Lytechinus pictus: one gene and its partner. The protein of the gene in region 1 binds, or shares a complex with, the protein of each later gene. Links are inferred from orthologs where the notes say so. Each region holds a gene or a part of one and is shown in the gene's direction. Other genes may lie near its edges.

Region 1 (7,704 bases):
AAAATTTGGTCTGATTGAATGCATCCACTTTAAATGTGAGGGCAACTGAAACGCAATCCTCTGCAGTGGACCTTTTTACTCTTATATCCTTTTTAACTCTTAATCTTAATGTGCCATTCACTGTAATCAGCGAGTGCCACTTTTTTTTCAGAGTCTATATTTAAATGTTTTATTTATAAAAAAGAGAATCACTCATGAGACAATTATGTTAAACCTCTTGACCATAAGCTAAACTGAACAATGGAATCACTCATGCATGCAATGCACTCCTCAAAATGCAATAGGCATAACAATAGCTGTATGACCATTGCACGAAAATGTGTTTGTGGCACTCCAGTGGATGCACAGATATGTGTTCATAGCACGTTAAGGGTTAAATAACACGAGGTAGTTCTTGAAAGCTCATACTTATTATTCCAATACCTCCTCCCAACAGAATTTTCCCTTAAATTTTTTTTTTTAATTAGAAATAGGAATCTACGTACTTGTTTCAATGAAGAACTGCAGTCCGTTTACTAGGTCATCTTCACCAAGCTGTAGAATATCGGTTAGGATTTTACGATATCTGCACGTGATAAAAATATAGGAAAATGTTCATTATCATTATCTGATTGAATCATTACCAATGATAATGTGTCATCAAATTTAAAGGATTCAATTGTAACTTACATGACCTGATGTGATTTGTCGAACTACAACTACAATATAAAACATGGCAGTACATTTCAAGATGTCATACTTACAAAATATCGAGATCAATTTCGTTACGATCGAACCTTGCAATAAAATAGACAAATATGTTGGTAATATTAGCAAATATGCCCGGCAAACCTCTCTTCATTTCAATGTCTTAGCATAGGTTGGAATCCCATCTTGATGACCAGTGTTAATATTCATATTTTCATTGGAAATTTAATAATAGCTTATAATCCGTCCAAATTAGTAGTAACAATTTGACAATGAAAACAAGAAAATTTACTAAATATCTATTTGGTCTGGTGGATTTAATGGCGGTTGGGCATGCTAACAAATTTGACCAATATTATAACATTGGTAGAAGTATTATTTTATGAAAGAAAACTTAAGATTTAGAAGGAAAAAGTATTGGGTAGGGATCAGGCCCAGCAGGGCTTTAGCCAGGATTTTAGAATTGGGTGTCCAAGTTTTCAAGCAGGGCGTAAAAAAAATGGGTGAGCAAAATTAGCCATCAATAGGTTCATAGGGCTCCATGTCTGGAAGTTGTAAACGGACATGTCAAAGGGGCAGTACTCATCATTTCCAGTAGATTCCCCCCCCCCAATATTTCTGTTTCTTAATAAACTTCTGGCTTGCCCCCCCTCCACACCCGTGCTTAACCCTTTGAACCCTGGGGGGTACTCGACTAAAAAAGTGGTAGGTATGTGCCGCGGGCGAGACAAAAACCTTTAGAGCGGGCTTATTGTAAAAAGGAGGGTCCTCGGAACAGGCTTCGGAACTATAAATGTTTGTGAAAACGGGGTCCTTGGAACGGGTCGCCAGCATGTGAGTGCGAATGCATCCCTATGGAATGGGCATACGTGCATGCAGCTAGCCCGGCAGCACGGACGCCGGGTGCGCTCGCGCAGAGGCGATGGACGGACAGCGCTCTGCGGCCGCTTTTCACCAAAATTGCAGCACATTGTAGCGGATCAATGCAGCCAGAACACCGTAACGAAAAATATGCTAAGCTTTGGAGCGGATTTCTTTCTTCTTTTCTCTCGATAAGAAGAAAATGCTATGCTTTGGAGCGGCTTTCTTTGATCTTTTTCTCAATAAGATAAAAATGCTATGCCTTGGAACGGAAATTTGAGTGTAAAAATGGGGGTCCCCTCCGCAGCACATACCCACAACGCATTATATACTGAGTGCACCCCCCCCCCCCCCCCCCCCGGTTTGAACCCTGAATTAATTGGGACGATCGTGACCCTCACCCTGAATTATAAACAGATATCAAGCTTATCAAGGAATACATGACATTTGAAATAAATGATTTCATATTGTCATGACTCGAGCCCAGCCATGTCATTGTCACCTTACTCTGCTGATACCCAGCTGATGTTGTTTAGCTTCCCGTACTAACAATAATCTCAAATTCTGTCTCAAAATCACTAATTTGACGGTAGAAAATTCAACAATGAGCACTCATTCAATGAACAAGGTTATGATAGAACCTTGTTCTCTATAACTATTTCCTGTGTGGTGAAGTAAGGTTGGCAAATGTTTGGCTTATTTTCTCATGTTCTTGGGGAAAAATGTTTAGATTTTTTGACACTGTCAGTTTCCATACAACTATTCATCAAAATCAATAACTTGGCTCTTAAAGATCAAGTCCACCCCAGAAAAATGTTGATTTGAATAAGTAGAGAAAAATCAAACTAGCATAGAACAATTTTCTTGCAATTTTACTTTCCACCATGCACCAATAGAGGGTGTACACAAAATATGCCCCAAATTCAAGGTTTTGAGAGCTCTGGTGAATGAAAAAATGATTTCCAAGTTAGTCCAATGAGTAATGTCTTTAGTCCCTTTATTTTACTTTATCATGAAAAATAAATTGCAACTGTAATTTGTATTGTTACTATGGAAATTAGTATTTTGGGTGACCAAAGTCAAAAGTGATATTTTTAATGAAATTTTAAAGTGTGTGCTGTGTACTGCATTGGCATACCATAGATCTACATGAAGATTCCCCACAGGCAGGGGCTGCAGTCAGGGTGACCAGACGTCCCATATTTCCCAGGATCATCCCGTAATTTGCTTTGTCCCGGCGTCCTGACAAACCCTTCCTGGGACGCCTATTTGTCCCGTATTTCAGAATATTGAACAAAATGTAGTTAATACATTTAAAAGTGACGAATTTTCATAAAATAACCAACAGATGACGAAGCAGAGACAACAATCAAATCAATAACTAAACTTTAAAGTTCTGCAGTGATTTTCTTGCTAACCATATACATTGAAAACGAACTGGCCTCCTGCCTGTGTGTGGCAGGCTACTAGCTAGGCAAGTAGGATCGCAGCAGATTCTCAATGGAGCAAACAACGACACAAAATCGGTGGGGAACTTGTATAATTACATTATGGATTCTCAGATTACTGATTTGGAGATGTAATCGGAGGAACAAGTTATTGAGTTTTCATAGCTAGATCTAGGTGTTTCAGCTTTCGTTTTGAGTCTTGTTATGTATGATGCCACGTTTCATCTAATTTTAAGTTGACAATATTTCACTTTGAAATTTTATTCATTTCTAAAACATTTAAGTTTAAAAAAAAACACCAAATATCATTATGATTTTCGATAGATTGGATTGTTTTTGTTTGCTTGAAGTTTGAACTTTTTTCCTCTTTCTTTTCTATCCTTCTTTCATCCTTCTATCCATCCTGCTTGCCCTTTTTTGTTCGATCTATCTTTATTTCCGATCTTTCTTTCCTGATCCTTTCTCTCTCTCTGTTCATTTTTCTTTCCTTCTTTATTCAATTTCCATTTTTATTTCCTTCATTCTTTCTTTCCTTAAACTTTTCTTTATTTGCTTCCTTCTCCTTTCCTCTCCTTTTTCTTTCCGTTCTTTCTCTCCTTCCATTATTTTCTTTTTTCCATTCTCTCCTCCCTTTCTTTCTTTCTTTGTTTGTTTTATCTTTCCTTCTAATTCTTTCCCTTATTCTTTATTTCCCTTCCTACCCTCCTTCCTCCCTTCCTGTTTTTCTTCTTTCTTTGTTTCTTTCTTTCAAAGGAAACATTATTATTTCCTTCATTCTTTTCTTCTCTCTCTCCTTTATTTTGTCTTTCACACATTTATTCATCTTCCCTTCCTTTCTTTTCTTTCTATATTCAATTCAAAGAATGACGGAAACCTTTTTTCTCTCTATTAAAAGTATTATTCTTTAATTCTAACTTTCTTTCATTCTTTTATATTTGTTTCCCTTCATTTTTTCTTTCTTTATTCTCAATTTATCTCTTTTCTTTCGTCTTTTCTTTCTCTTCTTCATTCTTCGTTCACCCACCCTTCCAATTCTTTAATTATATTTTTTCACAAGTCGAATACTGTGTAGCCTTCTTTGTTGATCTTTTTTGTCAATTTTCCCGTATTTCATTTTGTGAAATCTGGTCACCCTGGCTGCAGTGAACAAGTGTGAATGAGAGGATCGAGGAGCCAATGGGCAATGGGTATCCTCATACTGACAAAAGATATAATGCGTGGGACTACACTACAGTATATGCATACAACAAAAATGTTAATCCCACGATCTTCTATGATGAAAGGAGGGATCAATTATACTCATAAAATAACAATTTCCTATTAAAGAAGACAAATCAAACATTGAAAACTATTTTGAATACTCTTAAATGATATTTACTTTTCTGTTAGGTCTTTTGGAGCCCCACCAGCGCTCAAGAGAGTCGATAATTGTTGTTTCATGGAAGCTGCCATGTTGAGCGAGACTGATCAATTTGTGAGAATGTAATAATGTGATGATAAATTACACTTATAAAGAAAAGTTTTCTGCCAATAATAAAATACATTTTTAAAGCAAAATATTTTATTTATATCAAATTTGTGCCTAACTTTATTCTTAGATAACACTTTTTAATATTTATTTATTATGCGAGGTTGTGTGGTAAAAACGTATGCGAAATACGAAGTGTACAATTACAATAGGCCGAATGGAGAGAAGACCATTGATCGGCGCGTGATTTTGAACAAATGGATGGTAACGATGTCCTCGATTAAAGTAGGATTTTCTCATTAACCGTAAGATATTTTTTATCATCAGCTCATTGATATTACATGTATGGAAATGGTTAAATGTACTTTAAAGTTCCAAAGCGATTGGTCTATTATGAATCAGTTTATTTGCAGTTTTATTACGGCCCTGTGATATAAAATTGCTGCATCACTAAATCAATTCGCCACGTAAAAGGTGCTTGGGTGGAGAGCTTCGCTGTGATCGAAGCCGTGACCCCACTCGATCGCGAGGACAATTTTGGCCGTGCTTGTCGGGGCAGTGAGTGTGTCTTGCCTGGTAGTTGACGGCCTCTGCATGGGTTAAACATGGCCTGGCCAGTGTATTGTTGGACACAGACTCTCCATGCTGTAGTCTACCATGGAGGACAATGCTTCATGTATGTTGTTAGACAGCTGGCAACCGTCTGTTTCGAGAAGTTTTTTTTAACATTTTAAATTTTGTTTAATTCTCCTCGTACACACGTCACAAGACGGCTCGTGATTGTGCAGCCGCCATAGAGCCTTTAGAGGGTAAACATAAATAACAATGCAAACTCCTCCCGATAGGGCTCATGGATTTTTGTCTTTATTTCTTAAAAATATACAAAAAGAACTGGACCTAAATAAAGATTAGTATTCCGTTTTGGCCTGAAGTGCACCTAAACGGGGAAAAATAAACTTAAAACTGGGGAAAAATAAAAAAACAGTGACTTACTTTGGCTGTCACGCAACTTCACATCCCTGTTTTATCCGAACTTAAGACATAAACATAAAGTGTATGGCCATCGAGTCCTCTGTACAGATCGAGCTAGAACTTCGGTCTCTGTATTTGGTGAGTGGAGCCAACCAACCAACATACATGTAAATGTAACAGAGACCGAAGCTTTTTTTTTAAGTTTTAGTCTAGTTAGACAGCTGGTAGCCGTCTGTTTCGAGAAGTACTTTTTTAAACATTTTAAATTTTGTTTTAATTCTACACACGTCACCATGATTAATAGACGGTAGCGATTGTGCAGCCGCCATTATTAGGGGGTTAACATAAATAACAATGCAAAAACCCCTGACGGGCTCATGGACCAAAATAAAGATTAGTATTCCGTTTTGGCCTGAAATGCACCAAAACGGGGAAAAAACTTACTCAAAAGGAAAAAAACAGTGACTTTGATAGTCTACTTCGCAAGCTTCGGCTGTCGCGCAACTGCCACTTCGAGCTTCCCTGGTTTTTCCAAACTTAATACATAAACATATGGCCATTGAGTCCCTGTACAGATCGAGTTAGAACTTTGGTCTCTGTAATTGGTGAGTGGAGCCTACAGAGTTCAGCGGAACAACCAACATAACAGAGACCAAAGTTTTGGTCTACAGTACGTATGCATGTATGAATTCCTAGATTTTTTGGTATGAGTTTCCTATGAAAAAAAATGAATTAGAAATTTAGATAATTTAGAGTAAAACTAAGTACCCAAATATTGGACACTTATATTAAGTTAAGCATAGATCTAAATTTAATTGGACCAAAACATCATTGTCCATTGAATCAAATAAAAATCATATGTACATGTAACGTTTGTCATTAGATCTATTTTGTCAGGGTTGGCGATTTTTTTTATAAAAAAAAAATAAATTGATAGGATTTATTTGATTTAAATCAATTTTTTTTTATTCAAATCAGATTTTTTTTTTTTTGACTATTTTCTAAAACAAAGTGGAAATACCAAAAATATAACCCTTACACTGAAATCTTTTTAAAAATCATACATTTCACAACTAAAATTATTATTAACTTTTCTATTTCATAATTAAATCCAGCCAAAATGTAATTTATAAAGAATACATGTATGCAGGTCTGTATAAAGTCATGACGAAGATGCTGTTTCCGCATCCTCTCGTGTCGGGTATTTAGCTCCTACTGACTGGTTTGGTCAAGTTGAGGAACTGCCTTGGTACAGCTAATAAGTTAGTGTTCCTATTCAAATATGAAATGAGGATCAGTTTCTTTGGAAGAATTCCATGACTCAGAGACTCATATTCTTGAAAGAGAAACATTCTTGATTTTCAAACTAAGGACTGAAAATCATGTGTTTAATAAAAAAAACTCCATTTAAAAAACAAATTTAAACCTCCTTTGGTATTTGAGCCATGGTTGGAGCTTTGTTATTGTTTAAATCATTGATTTGCAAAGCTGTGTCTTATTGGGAAAAGTTGCAGGTTTATTTGAATTATTTCTTTTAGTACAATAAACCAGGAGTTGTACATTGTACTTGTACATGTTTCAATGGAAGTGATTTAAATCAATGATTTAACAAAAAAATCATAGTGAAAGTGGAGTAGGGGGCTAAGTGGTAACTGCGATAAAGGATTTATTCATGTTTTGATGATATATTGTTGATAAAAAATTTCTATTTTGAGTAAAAAAAAGTAAAACTGCCACAAATAAAAAAATTGTCAATCATTTGTACATGTTTTAATGGAAGTGATTTAAATCAACGATTTTTTTAAAAAATCATAGTGAAAGTGGAGCAGGGGGCTTTAAACCGCTTATGAAGGAGAATGTTTTGATGATATATAGTTGATAAAATCTTTCTATTTTGAGGAGAAAAAAATAAAACTGCCACAAATAAAAATATTGTCAATCATTTGTACATGTTTGAATGGAAGTGATTTAAATCAATGATTTTTTTTTTAAAATCATAGTGAAAGTGGAGTAGGGGGCTTTAAACCGCTTATGAAGAAGAATGTTTTGATGATTATAAAGTTGATAAAATCTTTCTATTTTTAGTAAAAAAAAAGTAAAACTGCCACAAATAAAAATATTGTCAATCATTTGTACATGTTTCAATGGAAGTGATTTAAAGGTCAAGTCCACCCCAGAAAAATGTTGATTTGAATAAATAGAGAAAAATCAAACTAGCATAACACTGAAAATTTCATCAAAATTGGATGTAAAATAAGAAAGTTATGA
Region 2 (7,017 bases), on another chromosome or scaffold:
CCATCATCACCATCATCATCACGAGCATCATCACCACCATCACCGCCATCATCACCATCATCATCATCATCACCATCATCACCATCATCATCATCATCATCATCATCATCATCATCATCATCATCATCACGAGCATCATCACCACCATCACCACCATCATCATCACCATCATCATCATCATCAACTCACCCCCACTGTGAAGAAGACCATACATAGAATGGAGAAGGCACTGGTGTAACCAAGGAAACCGATCTTTGGCAGGCAAGCCAGGGGGAGGATGACCAATAACACAAGGAGTAGGACCAAATAGTCACCATTTACATACCATTCACTGCATTGAATTAGGAGTGTAATAGAGTACTGAAGTGTGACATGATGAAAATACAAATTTTGCATTTCATTGTTTCTCATGTCATATCTTGGAGGTGCATGACAGCTAAAATTTGCTAGGAATTGGTTCAACGGGGCCCAAGATATGACCACATCAGGGGCCGCGGAAACGGGGGGCCTCGAGGCCCCGCACTTTTTTCCAAAACGTGTACAAAAACGTAAAAATTACCATCTGATTATGTTTTTTTGCATAGTCAACCCCCCCCCCCCCCTCTTTAAAAACCGTTCCGCAGTCCCTGCACATGAATACTGAATTAGCCCTATTGAAGTCAATGTATTATTGGCCTGGTTCTAAATAATTAACTTTGAACTTGATTATGTGACTTGAAATTAATACAAATGATGAGTGATGTCCAAGTTTTATGAAATATAAATAATTTGATTTCTATGTTATGATGAAATTTCAAATTTTAACCTTGGTTAAGATTTTGATGATGATCTCTGTAGCCGCAGGCAAAACAATTAATTTCATATAAACATAAAGTTCATTTAATGAATACATGCATATTCTATATTCAAGTAAGAAGGCATTTTGATTTTGTTGTACATGCACTGCATGAAAAATCTGCATGTTATGCTTTTGCCAGTGAAAATTTTTGATTTCCGGGTGAGGGGTGCATATTTTCAATGCTATTAGTACATCAATGTTCATAATAACCTGCCTCAGAGGCAATTTGACATTATGAAAATTGAGATTGATCAAAAATATGATGAAAATAACAATTACAACTTTAAAATTTATGAATACTTGACAAGACACTTACTTTGCAGTCTGGTCTTCATGTAGGAACGTCTTGAGAACTGCTGGCATCTCATTCTTTACAATAAATAGATAACTTGACATAGCTGGGAGGATAGACAAAATAACATTACTAAGTAAAATTTAATATAAAATATTGTACTTTCAAGTTCTAATCAAATGACTGATAGTGATGACATAAGTAATCACAGAATTTGTGACATTGGTCATTATATTTTTATCACAAAATATCTTGATAGTTTACTTCTAAATACAAACTATTCTTATTTCAAAGGCATTTGGCAAACATTATTCAATCAATATTTTCTGTCAATATGTATGCAGACAATACACTAAAAAATGTTGATAATCTTTTGTTTCCCTTTTTAAAGTTATAGAATTTCAAGAAACACTGAAATATACCATTCCTTTTAAATTGGAATCTAGCCCATCAATACTAGCATTCAAATGAAGGATAAAAATATATTATAAGCCCCTACCATCATCAGTATTGAACTCAATTCTTTTTACCAGGTTAATTGCTTTTAAGGTATTTGTCTTAGTGATTTATTTATTAGTCCACTTTCCTAAATACCCATTTATTCATGAGCTAAGTTTGAAATTGACCCGTAAAATCATATGGTTTTCTTGAGGATGAAAAGGTGGAAGGACAGATGACCCTAAAACATAATGCCTCCAGCAAACCACCTTGAGGTTTATCTTAATTACATCGGAGTAAATCATATTACAAAGAGGAAAGTTAATTGTAATAGACTCATCACTCATCATTAATAATGGAGTAAATCACCCCTAATTAATATTACTACTGATATGATGATGATTATGATGATAATAATAATAGTAATAATACTACTACTAATAATAATAATATTAATAATGATGATGAAGATAATAATAATAATAATTATAATTATAAAAATAATAATAATAATAATAATACAAGAACTAAATATTAGATCCTCTACTCACCACCAACATTTTGAAGGAGTATAGCAGAAGCTGCCATTAGCTATAACAAAATCGACAAAAATTCTCATTGAATTTATTTTAATACAGTTTCATAAATAGGGAAGGAAATGAGACAGATAGTCAGAAAATAAAAGGAGGGGTTTTATCAAGAGAGTGCACTAAACTAAGACATGACACTAAAATATGAACATAACATTTACTCAAATAGTAAGGGACTAAAAGCTTACCTTGCCTGGGACACCCATTGCACTGTTCCCTATATCTTCATATGACCTATGACCTGTGATGTCACACATCTTCAGAAGGAGGTGGATTGTGTAGTTTGCCATGACAGCGACAAGCAACAGCATCACACTATGGAAAAGGACAATAATAATCATTAAAAATACTTGGTCTATCTTCATCCCCTGATAAATTTCATTGTCTTGAATGTAAATTAAGATACACTTCATAACCTGCCATATTATCATAATGAATATTTTGATCATCATAAATGCCATCATCATTATCATCATCAATGTCATGATCAACATTATTATTCAATTTAACATTTCAAAGTATAAATCCAATTTACAAGAACATATATAACAAATAATTACAATTGACAAATAACACATGCATCTGCATATTTCTGAGAGGCATTTATCATTTTATGGGTGTTCATCCCACCGCTGCCACCATAATTGATGCTGAAAGAGGTAATTCCTAGTGTAACCTAATATTATACTAACAATCAGGTTCAATGGCCATTTGGTCCAATCACTCCAATTGCCACTTGGTCTAATTCCCACTTGGGCTAATTGTCATTGAGAAAGAGATATCAAATGGTGTTAGTAACACTTCATCTGATGACCAAGGTCATTTTCAAAAAGTTACATTTTGCCTGATCTTACACGTTCACATATACAACTTGATTATCAATTATATTTTCATGAAGAACTTGAAATCAGGATTGACTCCCTCTGTATAATTAGAAAAAAATAATATCATATTTCACGCTTTGCACTTCCCTTTTTTTCCCTTTTTTTTTTGCTTGGTGGTGAAACTTGGCCCCCATAGCTTCAAACTTTCATGAAATGGATCAAATGTGTAATACCTGAAGAGGATAATACCAGATTGTGCCATTGCATAGGGTAAGCCCAAGATCCCACTCCCTAATATAGCGTTCATCAAATTGAAAACTGATAGTCCAAAAGATGTCTTCCCTGATGTAAAAGGTTCCACTCTTTCCGTCATTGCCTCCTGTAGAAAAAAAGATTACCAATAAACTTTTTAAAGAGAGATAGAAGGGAAGGTAGCACGTACGGGATGGCAAGTGTCTATATTAGTGACTAGCAAGGATGGGCCAGGATGTAAAAGCGTTATTAGATCTATTCATTTATTTATTTATTGCAAATGTTTATCGAGAGTAGCCTGTTAATTCAGGCCCTTGATACAAAAATATACACAAATATAACCACTCATAAAAAATTACTCTGCATTATTATCTTCATACATAAAAAACACAAACATGAAGAAAACAAAAACATTTCATTATAAACTTAGTAGTACGATCATGCATGATGACGATTGATGAATTGTTTGGATTGATGACTACGGTAGTCACACAAAGGGACTAGTACTAGTAGTACATCAATTTTCATGTTTTGTGTTGCAACTTGCATGTTGTTGTTACTTGACTTGCCTGCTGCACAGAAGCTGAAGGTAATAAAGGTGTATCATCCATAATACCATGGTATACTATGTTGTTTGATTGTTCATCTGCATCTTCTACACAGCTCCCGCCTAAGCGATGACATTTTGGCTCCATTTCTTTTCTACTAAAAAGCCTAAAATGCTAAATTAAAGGTATACTATTAACTGCACAGCACTTAACTTTATTCATTCATTCAATATCAACGAAAATATAAACATTGTACCTGAAATGAACGGTAGAGGGCTCTTGTGAAAATGGCGTCACCAGCCGGCAGTGCGGGTAAATTTAATTTTTTTCTTCTTACCATTGTTCTAACTTTCAGGGTGTAATGTTGGGTTAATTTTTTACTTGAGTATAATATGAAGGTAATTGGAATTATCTTAAAATAAAATGTGTATATTGTCATCTTAAAAGTACAGTCTTTTGACATTGTGGTGTTGTTGCGATTGCCGTGATCGTGAGTGTGTGTGAATGAATACCGTAAGCTTTTCTGCAGACCACCACGCTCCGCTCCGGTGACTGTTCGGCGAGCTCCTGCCTTTAAAGTTACCCTGGCTGTACCAGCAGCTTGCTTTCATGATATTTGGTGGAAATGCACTTTCGTATCCATATGCATACAGAATGGCCAGTAAAACCAGGGTGACCAGATTTCACAAATGAAATACGGGACAATCGACAAAGCACAATGCACGAGCGGATCGACTGAGCCATGCAGTCCTTGTCTTGATTTTAATTTTTTTTTTAAATGAACAAAGTCAAACTCAAAGAAGGGCTAGAGCCTAGGCCACTCATTGGGCTAGGCTAAGTAAGTTAGCTCTAGCCGACTTTAGTTTTGAGTTAAAATTGTAACAAATTTAAAAAAAAGGAAGGGAGGGTAAATGAAAAAATGAAGGAGAGAAAGAAAAGAGATGAATTGAGAAATGAGAGGAAAAAAATGAAGGGGAAAAAAAGATAACCGAATAAAAGAAGGTTGAAACGGCAAGACTTCCATATGTCCCCTCCACTAAAATTGAAAAAGAAAAAAATATGGAGAAGGTTTATCAAGAATTATCTAACATGTATCTAAGAGATTTAAGAAGGAAAAGTTGGATACATACCAAAATATGGCTTTATTCCGTCAAAATTTCGAGCGTGTGTAATTCCCAATGGCATCGGTTTATTTAGTCAGAAAAATAAATGCCCAGCCCAATACTCTTGGAGAGTAGACTAGTCGTAATATCAGTTGATATGAAATTCATACATCACAGAAAATGCCTCTTCTTTATTTGTTGACTAAATTTCAAAATGTTTCTTCTCTGTCATTTCAAGTATGATGATATATATGATTTTCTGTTGACCGATTTTGATTTTTTTTCTTCAATCTGGTAGAGCTGCATGAGGTTCACCAAACTTGTACACAAAATTTTGAAATTTTGTCTAGAAAATTATTTATGCTAATTTATGCAAAATTTATTCATAAACACAAAAAATGTTTTTTCTTCTTCATTTGTTGATCAATTTCAATTTTTTTTGCTTTATATGATAGCTCAAGGTGGTGATTCAAAATTTCAACACAGAATTTTGAAACTCATTCAATATGCTAATTTATTCATATATTTTCAAAACTCACAAAAAATACTTATTTATTTGTTGATTGATTTTGATTATTTTTGTTCCATCTGAGAGCTACATGAGGTTCACCAAGGTACTACACAGAGTTCAGAAATTTTGACGAGAAAATTATTTTTGCTTAATTTATATGAAATTTATTCATAGATTGCAAAAAATGCTTCTATGCCATTTCTTCATCAATTTCAATTCTATATCCTCAATTTACCGTATGTCACCAATATAATTCACTAAAGTGTCAACTGGGCTGAAATTAAAATTGTGTTAAATTTCGCTGCGAGATGCAGGATGAGCTCCACATCATTGATGTGCTAGTATACAGTCACTGACGGTAAATGGATTTGTGGCCTTTTTCAAGAGTTATCTTCAAATGCCAGCTTTTAAATAAATCAATGATTTTAATTGGAACAAATTACGAAAACTGTATGCATATATTGTTTATGTCAAACACACATATCAACCTATTGATGAAATCTTAGTTTCAGGCAGAATTACTATATAAACATAAAATCAATACCCCAAAACATACATCATTACAATACACAGGAGTGATGATTGCCAGGAAGATTATGGCAAATGGCAGTGATGAAATAGTTTACAGTCAGACCGCAGGTCCCTATGCTAATGAGCAAAAAGGCCAGATTCATCCAAATCATCTCGTGGCTGAATCCTCCTCCTTGCAAAATCTTGTGATTCGTGAGATTTTCTTTCTCTAAGAATTTACCTGTTTTAACCTCAAGTTAAATGAAATATTATTGCACCATCAGATAGAGTAAAAGTTACTCTTTCATATTGGTCATTTATTTTGTATACAATATTTTGTTAAATAAGTAAATTTCTGGCCTGAAAATGTGCCTCAAAACTGAATTTTCTTCCTCTGTTTTCTTTTGCAAATTGCGCAAAACTTTTTATTTTGAGCCTCTATGATATTTATATCAACATAAAGCTGAACTTCTGTACTTTCTCACAATGCCACTTTTGATATGCAGCACCTTTTAATCGGGTCAAGATCACACTTTTCCCACCAAGGTACAAGACGAGATTTCAGAAATTTTGTACTTGCATGAAATCCAGAGTTCCGATTGGCTGGATAAGAGTCACAGAACAACAGGCGCAGGGTATTTGAGGAGATTACCACATGGGAAGTGTGACCTTCCCACGAACCCAGGCACTGGAACCGTTGGAATTTGCCAGTGTGCGGTCTCTTTGACCAATCAGAATGCAGTATTCTTGTTTTCAAGCTGCTTTATGTACTTGGCAAATGAAAAGTGTGGTCTTGACCCGATTAAACCAATTCTTATTTTGAAGCCTATATCATTTCAAAGCATACATATTCAGCTTTATCGTGATATAAAAATCATTTGGGCTCAAACAAAAATAAAGTGTGAAAATAGCAGCTTTTGTCAGGTGAAAATATTTATTTTGTAGCATATTATTTTAGATCAAAATTTTAACCTATATTACAAAATCTTTGAATAAATCCAAACACATGACCTGAAAAAATGATTCTTCTTCTTTACAATGGTACCAAATTCATGAAATTCGATGCACAATTAGAGCAGCAATGACCGAATGAAAAGAGGTGTTTTGGTCC

Evidence for each region.
Region 2: protein lin-54 homolog (region 1) and protein lin-52 homolog share a complex: the UniProt entries of both Homo sapiens proteins name them as parts of the DREAM complex. The link is inferred for Lytechinus pictus from reciprocal best matches to the Homo sapiens genes LIN54 and LIN52.

The regions. Positions count from the first base shown.
Region 1 is NC_087262.1:10,333,919-10,341,622, forward strand, and holds the start of protein lin-54 homolog, read left to right. Parts: upstream 1-4,656; 5' UTR 4,657-4,769; intron 4,770-7,704. Other genes in the region: COP9 signalosome complex subunit 4-like, read right to left, coding at 486-565, 4,375-4,448. UniProt on the Homo sapiens protein: Component of the DREAM complex, a multiprotein complex that can both act as a transcription activator or repressor depending on the context. In G0 phase, the complex binds to more than 800 promoters and is required for repression of E2F target genes.
Region 2 is NC_087251.1:29,398,641-29,405,657, reverse strand, and holds the start of protein lin-52 homolog, read left to right. Parts: upstream 1-4,007; 5' UTR 4,008-4,038; coding exon of another isoform or gene 4,039-4,069; coding exon 4,070-4,094; coding exon of another isoform or gene 4,095-4,122; exon of another isoform or gene 4,123-4,137; intron 4,138-4,294; coding exon of another isoform or gene 4,295-4,393; exon of another isoform or gene 4,394-4,578; intron 4,579-7,017. Other genes in the region: probable sodium-coupled neutral amino acid transporter 6, read right to left, coding at 190-331, 1,155-1,236, 2,120-2,159, 2,347-2,473, 3,216-3,361, 3,804-3,956, 4,295-4,393.